Linked DNA regions of Notamacropus eugenii. The protein of the gene in region 1 purifies or fractionates together with the protein of each later gene. This does not show direct contact. Links are inferred from orthologs where the notes say so. Each region holds a gene or a part of one and is shown on either strand. Other genes may lie near its edges. The genes, in order: PKMYT1 and CCNB2.

The links.
Region 2: the proteins of PKMYT1 (region 1) and CCNB2 purify together in Homo sapiens (affinity purification with mass spectrometry; 4 studies listed by BioGRID and IntAct, with this or other methods). This does not show direct contact. The link is inferred for Notamacropus eugenii from reciprocal best matches to the Homo sapiens genes PKMYT1 and CCNB2.

The regions. Positions count from the first base shown.
Region 1 is NC_092872.1:56,510,291-56,518,642, forward strand, and holds the start of PKMYT1 (membrane-associated tyrosine- and threonine-specific cdc2-inhibitory kinase), read right to left. Parts: upstream 3,519-8,352; 5' UTR 3,294-3,518; exon of another isoform or gene 3,217-3,293; intron 2,609-3,216; exon of another isoform or gene 2,452-2,608; intron 1,653-2,451; 5' UTR 1,636-1,652; coding exon 1,285-1,635; intron 1-1,284. UniProt on the Homo sapiens protein: Acts as a negative regulator of entry into mitosis (G2 to M transition) by phosphorylation of the CDK1 kinase specifically when CDK1 is complexed to cyclins. Mediates phosphorylation of CDK1 predominantly on 'Thr-14'. Also involved in Golgi fragmentation.
Region 2 is NC_092872.1:137,179,875-137,188,852, forward strand, and holds the start of CCNB2 (G2/mitotic-specific cyclin-B2), read right to left. Parts: upstream 3,466-8,978; 5' UTR 3,098-3,465; coding exon 3,074-3,097; intron 1-3,073. UniProt on the Homo sapiens protein: Essential for the control of the cell cycle at the G2/M (mitosis) transition.

The DNA.
Region 1 (8,352 bases):
TCTGGTCACTGGATTCTGATGGCTCTGGAGGAGAAGTGAGGCTGATGACCCGCACAGCCCTCCCTTACTCAAAACAAAGTCAAGTGCAAGTCATGTCATTATTTCTCTGATGGTAAGGTCTTTTTGGGCAAAGAAGGACGAACACACACACACACAAAGGTCAAGGAAGTAAACTAAAATGATTACCTAGTAATATGAACAGAACAAAACAAGCCACCCTTATCATCTGAAGACTTACTGACTGGTTAAGAATAAATCTGGCATTGAGGAATGGTCCAATAAGTTCAATTCTTTAAGCCTAGATGAGTGACTCTGAAAACCAATTTTGTGGATTTTCTGAGACTGAACTCCCCATTTGGGGACTATGAAGAAGCAAACACTCCAGAAGAGAGTATCATGACCAAATTAGGAATATATAAACAGAACAATTTAGAGGTAAGCTAACTATCACAAAGTTAGGACAAGATTGCTGTCTTTTAGTTCAGGGCTACTTCCTCCAAGAAGCCTTCCTTATCCTTAGTTATTAGTACTCTCCCTCCTTGAATATTCCTATTTTGTCTCATTTCTCCTTTGCCCCTTTCACTCCCTATCATATTTTACTTAACTGTGTACATGTCATATCACCCTAGTAAAATGTCAGATCTTTGACGACAGAAACTGTTTGTTTTTTAATCTTTAAATCTTCAGTGCCTAGCACATTACTTTGCATACAGTATGTGTTTAATAAATGAAGTTAATTCCATATACTTCTAAGCATATTATTTCTGAATTTGAATGTTTACTTGTCCTTCTGAAATAAACCTTTAAAAAATGTGATTCTGTGTTTTGATATATGCGGAAACAGGGGAGAGAAGGGAAAAAAGGAAGTATGTGTCAGAAATGGGCACCAAAATATGGTATCAGCAGAACATCAGTAGAAGGGGAAGTGGTTTGGGGACTCTGTGTATGTAGTAGATTTTTAAATTTCCAGAGCCAAACAGGGGAAGGGATTAGGAAGTTCCAGAAACTCAGGACTAAGTTTCAATTGGAGTTGGGTCATTAGAAAATTTTTGAACATAGTAAAAGGAAAAAGCTCTGGATACAAAATCAAGAACAGTGTATCAATTTCATTTGAAAAAGCTATTTCCAAGCAGAAGACTTTGAGACCTGCAACACAAGGCTAGAACCTTTATTAGGAGATGGGGCTCTAAGTAGAGACATAACTGGCTTCCTTGAAAGAACTGATCAGAAGAAAAGAGGTGGAATTTAATTATGGGACCAAGGAATCCCCATCTCTCCACTCACCTTGAAGACTTCCCCAAAGGAACCCCGTCCCAATCGCCCAAGTCTCTGGAAACTCTGCTGAAAGAAAGACTCAGGCCGGTCTGGGTCATAGCCACGGCTCTGCAATGCTCCTGGGGGCCCACCTCGAAATGAAACTCCTCTGGGTCTGGGCTGGCTCCAGCCTGGAGTTCTAGGGGGAAAGAAGCGACTAACAGAACCACTCCCTTTGGCAGGAGGCCGTGGTGGTAGGCTTCTGTTCAGGCCCCCAGGCCTCTTAAGAGAGAAGCCAGGCTCAGCATGACGAAAGTAGGCAGGAACAGGCACAGGAGTACCACTGAGGGGTGGAGGGGTCCCTTCTGTTGGGACTGGCATGACCAGCAAAGGAGACCCTACAAAACAAAGGAAGTCAGTAACTACTAAGAGTAGGTTAAATTGTCATAAGAAATAGCTCACAAATGACAAAACTTCAGTCTTCTCATTGTTTATAGAATTAGGATTAAATTATTTTAGCCCTCAACACTTTCCACAATCTGGCACCAACTTACATTTCCAGTCATTTCTCATTATATAACCCTTCTGGCATTCTACATTCCTGGACTATTCATCATTCTTCAATATTATTATATTCAATATATTCTCCTCAGCCCATGCTGCCCTCAATCCCTCAGAATGCAACCTCTACACATCTCTACATGTGGAAATTCTTCCATTCTTTCAAGACCCAACTCAAGCGGTCCTTTTCTTCATGATAATTTCCCCCATCTCCCAGCTAGAAATGATTGCAACCTACCCTAAATCTCTCCTGTCATTCTATCTGACCCCTCCTATCCACTTAATCACATTCCAACATATAGATATCTGTGTATGTGTCTTATCCCCTGACCAGATTGCAAGCTTCTGTTGGAATGTGTCAGCCACCTTTTTTGTATCCCCAAGGACAAGGACCAATTTTTGAACATAGTAACTACTTGGAGTAAATGTTTTGCTAAATTGAAAGCAAGCAGAAGGCCTGGATCACAGGACAGGGCAGCTTGCATTGAAGAAAGAAATCCTCCCAGAACACACAGGCACAACAAAATAAGCCCAAACAGCACAGGATAACCCTCAGTTAGGCCTGCTCAGAACGGCTTCAGAACCAGTCACTCCCTCCTCTCCTCTAGGAATTACAAGTCCCAGCTCCCTGGCTACCATGTCAAAGGAGCCGGACTCCACCACACTCCTCCTGTGTCCCTTCTAGACCTTGGACATCCTGGCAAACCAAATGCTACACACGTCCAGCCAAAAGGAGGTGGCTACAGGGGACACATTCCTCAGAAAACAACAAGAGTTCACAAAACGGGCCGGGTTTGGTGCATCGGCTGCCGGGGCGGGAGGCGGGAATGCCCGTCATTCGGGGGCCCAGGGTTACTACTGGAAAGGAGTGCGGGGGCCAGGGAAGCTGCTACTGGAAACGAGGAGACTGAGTTTCGGGGTCCACGAAGGAGGAGAGTGAGAACGGAAGGGAACAGGGTGCCTGTTACCCAGGGTGGGAAAAAGGGGCTCGGGTCAAGGAAAGATCCTGGAAGGGGAAGGGCGGCCAGAGGAGGAGGAAGCAGGAGGAGGGAGGAGTGTGGGGAGGGGAGGGTAAGACCAAGGGATGGTCCGTCAGGGAGTGAAGGGCAGGGCAGGGGCCGAGTAGGAGGAGAAGGGGAGAGGCTGTCGGGCCAGGGAAGGGTTGGGGGCCCCCGAAGGAGGGCTGCTCAAGAGAGGGAAGGGAAGAGGAGGGGCCGAGGGAGGAAGAGCAGCCAGGGAGGGGCGGGGCCGGGAGACTGGGGGACGAAGAGCGATCTAGGAGGGGAAGGGGCTTGGGGGGCGGGGCAGAGGGAAGACCGGATGGCCAGGGTTGTCAGCGAGGGGACTAGGCTCTGAAGGAGGGGCTGAGGGCGGGCTCTGAGAGGGGCGAGCCCGCGGTACCTGGAGCTCGGGAGGCCAGGGCTGGGGCTGTTACCGAAGGTCAGGGGTCTCCTCAGGGTCAGGGGTCAGACGCTCACCACCAGGTGGGGCTCGGGCTCCTGCTCCGGGTGCCCCGGATGAGCCGGTTCGGCACGGGGCCAGCCTTCAGGGTCCCGCGCAGTGGGGGAGGGAGGAGGGACAAGGCAGGGGAGGGGAGGGTCCAGACGTCGGCCGGTTCCAAAGACTCCAGCGCGCGGAGGGGTCGGTGGAACTGGAAGGGTCCCATGCGCGCGCGCGGCGCCTTCTCGCGCCAAAAATTCCAAATGAGTCTCGTGGGCTCCGCCCAGGAATGCCTTTAGCCCCGCCTCCTCATGATGGATTCACCAATAAGTGGCGCCGCTTCTAGCCCGTCCCCATCACGTATCTCCACACGTAGCCGGGTGAGGCGCTAGGCCCCGCCTACTCGCTCCCTGGGCGACGTCAGTGAAGCCGCGGGGCGGGCCTTCCAGCTGAGAAGCCCCGCCCCTCCCGGCCCCACCCACCGTGGAACCAGCTCCGCAGGTACTTGGCTGGACGCTGCACGTGGCTGTCCCGCAGCCTCCCTCTCCCGGGCGAGAACTCCCGAAAGTCTGAGCCGGAAGGAATCCTGGGATGTAAAAGCTTGCTATCCAGTCCAGTCCACACGGGAAAGAGAATCTCCACAGAACCTGAGCAGTGGTCATCCGGGCTGTACTTGAAGACCTAGGATGAAGGGGAGCCAGCTGTATCCCGAGGGGAACATCTCTGTAAGCATTAAGAAGTTTGACCTGACATCAAGCTTGAATCTGGCTCTTTGCACCTTCCATCCCATTGTTCCCAGTCCCACCCTCCTGGCCAGAGGCAGCTAGGTAGGCCAGTGGATGGAGTTGGAGGAACATTCATCTTCCCGAGGTCAAGTCCGGCCTCAGACACTTACTAGCCGTGTGACCTTGGGCAAGTCACTTAACCTCTGTTTGCCTCGGTTCCCTCATCTGTAAAATGGGGACAATAATATCACCTCCCTCCCAGTAATATTTGTAAACCACTTAACTAGAGGCCTGGCATACTGTAAATGCCCTTCTAGGACCAAACAATATATCTAATCTCTGTCTTCCACATGGCAGCCTTCAAATACTTGAACACATGTATCCTTTTCTCCTGGAATTCTTCTCCAGGCTTGACATTCCTAATTCCTTCAACCAGTCTTCATAGGGCGTTGTTTCAGGCTCTGCATAGTCCCAGTGGCCCTCCTCTGGATACTTTTCAGTTTATCAATGATCTGTAATCGGTTATCTTAATGATCTAAGCCAACCGACCTCATTTTGGGAATGGGGACATTCATACTTAAAGAAGGGTCACACAGGAAGAAATGCAAAAAGATCCAGAGATGTCAATGGGACAATCAGTGATGGTAGGCTGCATTGAAAAGGAAAGACAAAGGACTTCTCTGTGGCACCCCAAGATAGGTCGGTCATTACCTGTCCTTCGCCTCTGTCTTGTCTCCTCTCGTGCCCAAGAATCACAGAAGCTCAGAATTAGAAGAGACCTCAAAAGTCATCTAATCAAACTTATGTCCAGATGACCATGCCTTCTGCAATATAACAAGCAAAAGCAGTCATCTGACCTGGCACAGTGTGTATAAAATGGGTTTAGAGTATGAGGAAGTAAGGCTTCAAATCTATCACCTCAGCTAACACTGTGTCATCATGAGCAAATTATTTACCTTTTCTAAGTACAAGTTTTCAATCTGTGAAAGGATTTAATCATGCTTGCAGTACTCACTGGGTTACTGTGAAGCTCAAATGAAATTGTATATGTGTGTATACATACATACATGCGTATGTACACACACATGTAATTTGTATACTTTAAAGATACTGTAATTGTTGAGTTGCTTTTCATTCTTGTTTGACTTCATGACCCCATTTGGGGCTTTTACGGCAAAGATAGTGGAGTGGTTTGCCATTTCCTTCTCCAGCTCATTTTACAGATGAAGAAACTGAGGCAAGCAGGGTTAAGTGACTTGCCCACAGTCGCACAGCTACTAAGGCCAGATTTTCAACTCAGGAAGCTATCTGGACTCCAGACCTTGATACTATATCCGCTTCATCACCTAGCTGCCCCAATGATATTATAAAGGGTATCCCCAAAAGTCCTCATGCAGCTTTAAGTAATTAAAGCTTTAATAGCTTATTAATTATTATTATCCAGACTCTCCTTGAAGACTTCCAGAGAGGGGGACTCCTTACTCCTCCACCCACCCTAAGGCACCCTATTTCCCATTTTGTGTAGGTTTAATTGTTAAGAAGTTTTTTTAATACCAAACTTAAATCTTCCACTCTTCAACCTCCACCCTATTGCTCCTATTTCTGCCCTTCATGTTCATATAGTTCCTGGATTTTTCTTGTCAGGTAGACTTCCAAATATTTTATATTGTCTACAGTTATTTAAATGGAATTTCTCCATCTCTTGCTGCTGGGTCATGTTGGTAATATATAGAAATGCCAGTGATTTATTTGGGTATATTTTATATCATGCAATTTTGCTAAAGTTGTTAATTATTTCAAGTAGTTTTTTAATTGATTCTCTAGGATTCTCTAAGTACACTATCATATCATCTGCAAAGAGTGCAAAGAGTGATAGCTTTGTTTCCTCATTGCCTATTTTAATTCTTTCAATTTATTTTCCTTACCTTATTGCTAAAGCTAACATTTCTAATACAATTATTGAATAACAGTGGTGATAATGGATATCCTTGTTTCACTCCTCATCTTATTGGAAATACTTCTAGCTTATCCTCATTATGTATAATGCTTGCTGCTGATGGTTTGAGATGGATGCTAATCATTTTAAGGAAAACTCCATTTATTCCTGTGCTCTCTAGTGTTTTTAATAGGAGTGGGTGCTGTTTTTTGTCAAAAGCTTTTTCTGGCATCGATTGAGATAATCATGTGATTTCTCTTAATTGTGGTATTGATATGGTCAGTTATTCTCATAGTTTTCCTAATATTGAGCCAGTCCTGCATTCCTGGCATAAATCCCACCTGGTCATAGTGTATTTATTTCTGCCCTCTGGAGCCAAGTAGAAGTCTAATCTTTGATCCCCATGAATGCCCTTTAAGTACTGGTATCTTTCATTAACAGGAAGAACTGAAAGTGACCTGGGGTTACATCTAGTCCAACTTGTACCCCAAAAAGTTTCCTCTACAAAATAAGCCAGCTAAGCTTGTTTTCTTCAACTAGCTTCATGTGTCATGGTTTCTATTCTCATCATCATTCTAGTCATCTTTCTCCAGCTTGTCAATTGCCCTTTGGGATGTTATCAATATTTACAAGGTTCGATCTTTCCTTCCACTTCCCCAGTTCTTCCCCTTACCTTCAGAACTGTGCACTACAGAAGCAGAATGAGAATATAGTGACTTGTCACCTGAAATGAGCCACTTCTAAAAGACAAATTGCTTAGTAAGAAAGCCATGAAGAACTATAAGGACAGTCACAGCAGAGTACCAATGAAACAACTTGAGAGGGACTTATCTTGAGTGGTAGCAGACTCTCTCTAGAGCCTAAGAACTTTGGAGAGAGACCTGCTGAAGCCGAGTCAAATAAGTAAATTGGTCACCGAGGGCCAAGTAATGACAACAGCCTGGGAAGCTCTATTGACGGGGTGGCATGCCTGCATCTTGAGTTTGTGATTGCTGGCGATGGAAGCTGAAGCAGATTTTGCTGAGCTGATTCGGTTCATCTTCCCCTTCAGACTTTTACTGTGAACAGGGAAAATTCAAACTATTAATGGGTTACAGCACAGGAGTTACTAAAGAAATGGTATGCTTTTTATTGGGGAAATGGAGCAGCTATCTGGGAAATCTCATTACTGTATTTTATCTTTCAGTAAATATACTTAAACTATAATTTGAGTATTTTTTGTCTTTGGATCACACAAAGAGATAAAATTAGTAATGGGAAACAAGACATGAGCTAAATTTGGAGATTTTCCCAAAGCTTAAACATCTGAGTAGGGGTAAAATACAAGCTGAAGTTCTAAAATAGACTTTTGAAACATTATGTACACATAGTTTTGCATCATTAAGCCCTCAACCAAATTGAAAGGAACCTAGGCCAAGGAAGAAGGGCATGTGGCTCTGTATTACATAAAGAGGAGGAAGCCTACTATATCTGACAGTTCTTTTCATATGTGGGGATTAGACATGTTTCAGCACCCCCTTTATAGGTGGAGTACTCTCTACCCTACCTACCTTTACACATCTGTATCAAAACCCTCATTTCTCTAAATTGTGATGCCTGGAACTGAACACAACATTTTACAGTTTGATCAAGATAGAATACAAAGAGATTATTGTCTCCCTACCTCTGAACACTACAATTCTAAATAAGTCTAGGATTGCATCAGATCTTTGATAGACCCCACTTTGAGACTTGCCTCAGAAACTTACTAGGTGTGTGACATGTCACTCAACCTCTCTTGTCTCAGTTTTCTCATCTGTAAAATGATTATTATAAAAGCACCTACCTCTAAGGGTTGTTGTGAGGATCAAATAAGATAATGAGTGTAAAGGGCTTTACAAACTTTTAAAACAACATATAAATGCCAGGTGTTCTTCTTGGGGTAGTTAGGTGGCACAGTGGACAGAGCATCAGGCCTGGAGTCAGTTGAAATCTGGCTTCAGACACTCACTAGCTATGTGACCCTGGGCAAATCACATAATCCTGTTTGCTTCAGTTTGCTCATCTGTAAAATGAGCCAGAGAAGGAAATAGAAAACCATTCTGATATCTTTGCCAAGAAAATCCAAATGGCATACATGACTGAACAACAGGAAAAAGTCATTTTCATCATCATAACATTGAGCTTGCAGTTCACAACAACTTTCAGAGCACAGACTTGTTTCTATCCATATCTCTTCCATCCTGTCCTTGTGAACCTTTTAGAAGTAAAGTGCAAACCTTATGTTACCCGTTCTAAATGTCATCAGTCCAACATTTTAGCCTGTTGAAATCTTTGTGAATACTGATACTTATCTAGTATGTTAGCAGTTCTTGTCAGTTTCATGTCATTTGCAAATTTAATAAGCATTCAATTTTTTCCTTCATCTGAGTTATTTGTTGAAACAAACTGTTAAGA
Region 2 (8,978 bases), about 81 Mb from region 1:
CCTTTCACACTTGGTGATCTCATCTGACTCCATGGGTTCAGTTATCATCTCTATGCAAATGATATTCATATCAATATATTTAGCCCAAATTTATTTCCTGAGTTTCAGGCAAGCAGAAACTGCCTTTTGGAAATCTTGAATTGTATATCCCACAGAAAAATCAAACTCAACATATCCAAAACAGAACTTATTACTTTAAACTCTCCTTTCTTCCAAACTTCCATATTACCTTTGAGGGCACCACCACCATCAAGCAGATTCCAACCTCAGTATCATCCTTGAGTACTCTCTCACCCCACATATCTCTAACCCACTGCCAAATCTTGTCATTTCTACTTTCTATACTTTCTACAACATCTGCTGTATAGCCACTTCTCTCAACTCTAATAACCACCATCCTGGCTGAGGCTCTCATCACCTCTTGTCTGGATAAATGCAATAACCTTTTGACTGGTTTTCCTACTCAGCTGCTAAAGTGATTTTTTTCTAAGAAACAGGTTGGGCCATGTCATTCCACCTGCAGCTTGGGCTCCAATCAAATATTAAACTCCCTTGTTTGACATTTAAAGCTCTTTATACCATCTCATCTTCCTACTTTTGGAGACCTGTCACACCTTACCCTCCTCCACACACTTTGTTAAAGCCAATTAGCCTATATGTACTTCCTCTAACCAGTCACTCCACCTCTTCTTGTTTCTGGGGCCTTTGAACTTACTAGCTGTCCCATGCCTAGAAGTTGCCCCCTTGCTTAGAAAGTTTTGCCTTCTACTGGGCCTCTCTCAAGATGCAGCTCAACTCCTACCTTTCCCAATTAGTGCTTTCCCTCAGATTATCTTTGACCTAATTTATATTCAACTTGCATGTACCCAGTTATTAAGATGTCTATTCCATCAGGATGTGAGCTCCTTAAGGACAGAGGCATTTATGGCCTTTCTTTGCATTCCCAGTGCACACTTGCAGGCACACAGTAAGTGCTTACTAAAATGACTTACTAAGTAAGTGCTTACATACAGTGCTAGCTGATTATCTCCTCTCCTCCCCCATCTCTAGCAGACTGTCCTTGCTATCATCCTTCCTTTCTCTCTAACATTCAATCTCTCCTTAGATTTCTTCTTTGACACTGCAGACTTGTTCCTTCCCTCCTAGACCAATACCTTCCCAAACAAGACCTGGATTTTCCTGAATCTATGCCTCAAATCCCAGGAAAACTGAATCCTTCATCTTTAGAGCTCCTGCCTTAGACCCCAAAGAAGCTGACTAGTGACTGAGTACATGGAAACTGGTCCACTTAATCTACTATATCTAGGAGAGCCAACAGATACTGGATCATGCAACAGCTTCAAATCCTGTATGCTATCCACTCAGGATGTCTCACAATCTTCCCGTTTACATTTACTGTCTCCATGTTTTCCTAAGTCTATGTATCCAGCCTGTCTCTTTTAGAAGGTCCAATCCCACATCATCAACTGCAATATTGGACTTTTCAAACTAGATGTCTCCTAGGCATCTCCAAGTCAAAATATTTCCCTCAAATCCTACCCCTTTCAAACTTTCCTGTTACTGTCAAAAGTACCACAATCCTTTCAGTCATTCATGTTGACAAATTCAGTTACCTTTGACTCCTCTCACTCACCACACATAGTTAATCAGTTGCTAAAGTTTGTCATTCTTCTTCCACATCTCTTATATTTGTTCCTTTACCTCTACTCCCTCAACAACCACCTTAGTTCAGGCCTTCATCCTATTTAGTGGACTACTGAAATAGCCTCTTAATTCATCTCCCTACCTTACTCCATCCCACCGTCTATAAAGCTGCCAGAGTGATTTTCCTAAAGAATCAATAGTTCACTCACCAACCAGTCTATAAGTATTTATTTATCTACTCAGTGCTTGGCACACTATATTATGAGCTGGGTGGATAAAAAAAGGGCAAAACCACAGTTCATGACCTCAAGGAGCTCCTTGAGGTCTTCCTCATCCAGCTACTAGTCATCCAAACTCACTCAGCACCATTCCAATAAAGGGGAAAGAGAAGAAGCATTTAATACGAGCCAGGCACTTAATTTAATATGTGCTAGGCACTACACTAAGCACTTTATAAATAATATCTTATTGGATTCTCACTACAACCTTGATAGATGCTAGTATCACTCCCCATTTCACAGCTGAGAAAGCTGAGGAAGAGAAAAGAGAAGTGATTTACACAGGTCTGAGGCTGGATTTGAACTCAGATCTTTCTGGCTTTGGGGCCCAGTACTCCAAGACGGTGACAATACATGCAAAAATAAAAATAAAAAATGAGTATACAAAGTAAATGGAAAGTGCTATGGGAAGCTCAGCCCCAGGGACTAACGCAGTACAGTTCTTGAGAGACGGCAAAGACGAGGAGCTGGGCAGTAGAGTACAAGCAGAAGGGTAAAGTCTGGGAAGACTGGGAAGGTGGGAAGGGACCCAGGTGTGAAGAGCTTGGAATGCCAAATCCCACTGGATCCCGAGGTACTGGGGAGCCGCTGAAGTTTACTGAGCAGGGGAGTGACGTGCTGAGTCTTCTGCTTGTGCACTCAACGAAGGATGGATAGGAGGGGGAGACTGTGGCAGGAAGACCCCCCCCAACAGGCTGCTGCAATCGTCCCGGTACGGGGTGGTGACACAGTCAGAGCCTGGGGATGGCTCAGTCAGAGGCGCAGGGGTCTGGCCCCGGGAGCGGAGAGGGAGGGGGATCTACCACAGGATTCCGCGCCCGGACTCTAAATCCAGCCAGAGAACGCGATGGGCCGAAGAGAGAGGGCCTGACCACGAGAAACCTAGAGCACAAGGCCCCGGGGCTCTCAGCGGAAGAGCTGGGGTTCGAGCCCCGATCCTCCGCACAAAAAGACGGCGCCGCCTCTGGGGGAGGGCGGACGGGGGACTTGGGGATCAAGACCTGGGAGAGGCCCTACGTCACCAACTTCCTTCCCTCCTCCCTCCCCAGCCGCCGCCCCGAAGGGACCGTACGAGGAGGCGACGGCCGAGGCCTCGGGGCGACCCCGCCGGGGGAAGGGGCGAGGACGCGGCCACCACGCCGCAGACTCACCGCGGGGCGTCGGAACAGCGCCATGGGGCCCGGGCCGGGCCGGAGCAGGGGCCGCGGGGAACTGGCGAGACACACAGAAGCAACACGAACCGCCGCACAACGCGGTCCCAAGATCACGCCGCGGCCGCCGCCTCTCAGCCCTACGGCCGGAATTCAAACCGCACCACTCGCCCTCCCATTGGCCCTTCCGCCAGGAGACCCGCTCTTCTCATTGGCCGGACCGATCAGACGCCCCCCCCCCCCTCCCGCTACGCGTTGATTGGCTGTTTCCGAGGACCCGTTGGGTTGTCATAGCAATTGGGGATTGTTTTTCCTGGATATAGATATATAGATATATGTACATATATATGATATATACATAATACATATCATACATATGAAGATTTTCCGAGTAAAAAAAGTTTTGTAAATTAAAAAGTGGCCAAGAGGAAACAGAAACCAAACGGAACTGAACCAAAGGACGGAAATGGAAAACTGGAAAGCTTCCCACCCCTCGTATAAACCCGGGCCTGATGTTATCTCGCGATGGTTCTTACCGGATGGGGCGGGAGCTAGAACCGCGGAGGCTTCTGGGAGTTTCATTTCCTTCTTCCGTGTCCTGAGCCGGAAATCGGAGTTTCTAGTTTGCGGTCTTCTTGCCGACGCTGTTTGGCTTCTTTGTGCTAGCGTTGGAAATGACGCGCTGTGGCCCCTTGTTCGTCAGCTTCCCCTGGGAAGGAAGACGCGGGGGGGAGCCTCCCTGTGCCCCCCCGACATCCCAGCACATGCCCACCCACTTCCGTTCCGTGACTTCCCTGCTCCCTTACAATAATCAGAACTTTAAAACTCCTTGGGGGCGCCTTTCCTGCTAAAGAAAGAAAAGGCACCCAGGCCCGAGAAGGGATGCGGGGGGATGGGAAGGGCTCCCCCTCCGTGGGGCTTGGGGCGGGGGCCAGGCCCTGCAAGTCCGCTCGCGTTGACGGACCGTCTGCGAAGTGCCAGGCACCCGCAGGTGGCAGATGAAACGAGCAGACGTGGGAAGGCTCCTGCCCTCCCGCCGCGGGCGCCCCTTCCCTGCTCGGCAGCGGCGGCGCGCCCCAGTGCCCAGCCCTGGGGAAGTAGGAACGTGTAAGGCACGTGTTCGGAAGGCCATCTCTCCGGAGCTGCCTTAGCCCACAGCGCAGCTGCGCCCACCCACGAGGCCGAGAGGGCCCGAAGGAGACTGCGGCGGCCCCAGCCGGTGCCCGCCGGGCATCCCCGGAGCCAGGCAGGCTCTTGCCCTGGGCTTAATGGCATCCGGTGTGTGTGCCTTCTCTAAAACAGAACTATGCGGGAATACGACCAACATCGACGGGTCCAGCTGCGTGTCAGCCAGGACACCCAAGCCCCGATCCTTCGTCCAGCCTCTTGGTCTTGGCCCCTGTTCTCCAAGACTGGAGCGAGACCGCCAGATGTTTGTGCGGAAGTCCTGATTTCGGCTGGTAACCACGGGCCGTGTGCCAAGGAGAGGAGAAACTGAGAGAAATTCGGGATTTTTAGGGAACCCGTGGAGTACAATAAGAAGACTCAGGAGGAGCGGGGGTGGCCAGAATATCAAGGCGTCAAGGTAGATGGGAATGGGAAGTATGGGCATAGGCACAGGGACGTAGGTTTTTCTTTATTTTTCTGATGCGTTCAGGCCTCTCCATTGGGGCTTTTAAAAAATGGTAGATATTTAGAGTTTACAGATGGAATGAGTGTGTCCTGGAGACAGCTAGGTTTCCCTTCACGCGAGATGAAGGAAAGTGGGTTGAGAGATCCAGGAAAAACGATTCTGGAAAATTATTTGGAATTATACAAGAAAAAGTAACTTTGAGCCAGCAATACACTACAAGAATGCCAAAGGAAAATTTATATGTATATATATTTATATTTATAGAGAAACTTTTATTTATATAAATATATTTATAGAAAATAATATTTATAGAAAAATGTTTTGAGGAAGCAGAGAACTGGAAGCAGAATTTGGGAGTGGCTGAGTAAATTGTTTTATGTGAACTCAATAGAATATTGTATGACCTCGACAACAGGATCATTCTGACGTATGAACTATTGTAAAACAAAGCAAATCAAGAGAACAAATTACAAAAACGTCACCATAATGGTAAAGGAAAATGACTGATTGACGTAATAACTGATCACTGCAGTGACTAATTATCACTTGAATTGTTGATGAAGTATGCCTTCCTCTCAGCAGAGAGGTGATGGACTATAAGAATGGAATGCAGACTTTTTTGATAGACATGAGCAATATGTTGATTTGTTTTGCTTAACTGTAATTCTTTGTGACAAGGGAAATTTCTATTGGGGTCAAAAGAAGTCACTGGAAAATGATGATGATACATCTAAAAAAAGAGCTTCAGTAAAATGATTTTAAACAAAAGAGATCCAGAATAAAGGGGAGCTTGTTTAGCAAAAGAGAAGGGGTTCTGTTCTGGAGAATATAAAGGAATGGTGAAGCAGAAGAGAATATGAACAATGGAGGACTGAGGTGAACAGAAATGAGAGTATGAGGAGAGTCAGGAGAGGGAAGAAAGTGGGGGGACAGCTTTAACAGGGCTTGACTCTGAATCATAGGAATCAGGGGAGCAAAGGTAAGCAAATTGCCTGCCACTTCATAGAAATGAGCAGTTCCTCACAGGTACAACTCTTTATCTGAATCATCGCACGCACACGCGCACACACACACACACACACACACACACGCATGCATGCACACACACCCTGCCTTTACTCTGTGCCAAGACTCTGATCTGACTCAGAGTCCCCTTTACAGCAAGCCATTTACTGCCTCACCGCACTGAATGCTGCGGTCTGACTTTTCAGTGCCCTGCCTGAGAAAATGGGGAAGGATGGCTAACATGTCAGGTCAATGTACAAAGATCACTTTGAACTGGATCCAAGATGACATCATTTAGTGTAGATCCAGTCTTACACTTAGGCTTTTCCAAGTATAAAGATGGGGTGGGGTGAATAGGCAGTTCTTCAGAATCTGGGAGACTTTAGAGGAAGAGATCTATTTAAGTCAGTCATGTATATGGAAGCCTAAAAATCTGTTGCCAGCTTAAGTGACAATAAAAGATACTGTTTTTCAGCACTATATAAATGTCAGCTATCACTGTGTTTGCCATAAAAAGATATCATGGGCTCTAGTTCAAGATAAGATCTAAATGGGTACATGATTTAGACATAATGGATGATGCCATAAGCAAATTAGAAGCACAAGGAATGATTTACCTGTCAGATCCATGGAGAAAGGAAGAATTTCTGAGCAAACAAGAAAGAAAGAACATTATCAAATGCAAAATGGATAATTTTGATTACATTAAGTCAAAAAGGTTTTACACAAACAAAACCAATACAACCAAAATTAGAAGGAAAGCAGAAATCTGGGAAATAATTTTTATAGGTAGCATTTCTCATAAAGGCCTCATTTCTTAAATATATGGAGAACTGAGTCAAATTTATAAGAATACAAGTCATCCCCCAATTGATAAATGGTCAAAGGATATGACCATGCAGTTTTCAGATGAAGAAATTAAAACTATCTATAGTCATATGAAAAAATGCTCTACATCACTATTGATTAGAGAAATGAAAATTAAAACAACTCTGAGATACCACATTACACCTATCAGATTGGCTAATATGACAAGGCAAATGATAAATGTTGGAGATGTGGGAAAATTGGGACACATGCATTGTTGGTGGAATTGTGAACTGATTCAACTCTGGAGAGCAATTAGGAACTATGCCCAAAGATCTATAAAACTGTATATACCCTTTGATTTAGCAATATCACTACTAGGTCTGTATCCCAAGGAGATTATAAAAAAGGGAAAAGGACCTATATGTACTACAAAAATATTTATAGTGGTTCTTTTTGGGGTGGCAAAGAATTGGAAATTGAGAGGATGCCCATCAGCTGGAGAATGGCTGAACAACTTGTGGTATATGAATGTAATGAAAGGAAAGGAAAGGAAATGATGAGCAGGAAGAATTATATGAAGGGATATGAATGAGTGAATATGAATATATGAATATGAAAATATGAATGAGTGAAGAGAGCAGAACCAGGAGAACACTGTACACAGTAACAGCCACAGTGTGCATTGACTGACTTTGATAGACTTAGCCTTTCTCAGCAATGCAAGGACCTAAAAAAATTCCAAAGGACTCATGATGGCAAATGCCGAGTCTGAATGCAGAGCAAGGCAGATTACTTTCTTTTCTTTTTTTGCTTTTTTTTCTTTCTCATGGTTCCTCCTATTTGTTCTAATTCTTCTGTACCACATGACTAATGTGAAAATATGTTTAATAGGAATGTCTATGTAGCACCTATATCAGACTGTATGCTGTCTTGGGGAGGGAAGGACAGAAGGAAGGAGGAGAAAATTTAAAACTTATGGAAGTGAATATTGAAAACTAAAAATAAATAAATTAACTTTAAAAAATAAAAATAAATGAGCAGGCAGGCTTCAGAAAAACCTGGAAAGACTTGCATGAACTGATGCTGAGTGAAGTTAGAAGAACCAGAACACTGTAACACACACAGTAACAGCAGCACTGTGTGATGACCAACTTTGTTAAACTAAGCTCTTCTCAGCAATACAATGATCCAAGACACTTGCGAAAGACTTGTGATGGAAAATGCTAACTACATCCAGAGAAAAAACTATGGACTCTGAATGCTGATCAAAGCGCACTATTTACGCTTTTTTCTTTGTGGTTTTTTCTCTTTTGTTCTGATTCTTCTTTCACAAGATGACCAATGTGTAAATGTTTAACATGATTGTATATGTATAACATATCAGATTGCTTGCTCTTTTGGGTAGCAGGGAGGGAGAAAATTTTGGAACTCAAAATTTTAGAAAAATGAATGTTGAAAAGTATCTTTACATGTAATTGGAAAAAATACTATTAAGGAAAAAAACATATATTGGGGGAAAAGAAAAAAGAAAATAAATGATGATTTGGGGCAAGCCCTTAAGAGTTCGGTCACAGATGCTTGTATAGTGTCTCAAAGATGAGTCACATCAGCTCTTTTTTTTTTTAAAGAGCAGGTTGAAAAGCAGGTGACTTTAAAAGAAAAAGGAAACAAAGTTATTAGGGTTTTGTAAGTATAGTTGAATTCAGAAAGGGACACAAAGCAAATTTTTTGTTACTTTTCACTAGCCTTTTTTATAACAGAGTTTATAAGAACTTTATCAGACTAAGATGTAAATGGATTAATGGGTCAACTTTGGGGAGTTTGTAGAACGTTGACTTCATGGTTATCTTGAATATTCAGTTGGGGGTGAAAAACCCTTTTATTCTAGATCTTTGAATTAATTCCATGTTAAGAATACTCTCAAGGGATCCTTTTCCAGAGAGATTCTAAAGAAGGTGGAAAGGACATTTCTGGGTGGCAGTGGAAGTCATTTGTCCCTTTGAAAGAGCCTCTTCTAGCTGATTTGAACATTTTTTCATTCATTGGTGCCAGATTTGTAAGCACATTTGTAAGGGTCATGTTTGTCTGTAGGGTGGGGGACCAGGAGGAGAGTGGTGGCACAGAGAAAAGAAACCTTATTTCTAAGTTCCCTTTCAGCAATGCTTCCAGATTTGCCTTTTTCTGCTATGCAAGAAAGTTGATACTGTGTTACTTATAGGAATGAGGGGTTGGTCCAGAAGGGGAAGCTATAGTTCTTAGGATTATAAGGTTTCAGGCTAGAAAGACCTTTAGAGGTCATCAGCTAGTCAAACCCTCTCATTTTACAGGTGAGGAAATTGAGACAGGGTGATTTACCAAATTCACATAGCAAAGGTGGGAATTCAAACAAATCTTTGGATTTGAAATCCAAGACTGAGATACCTCTAGTTACTGTCTAAGATGGGAAGCATGATTTGT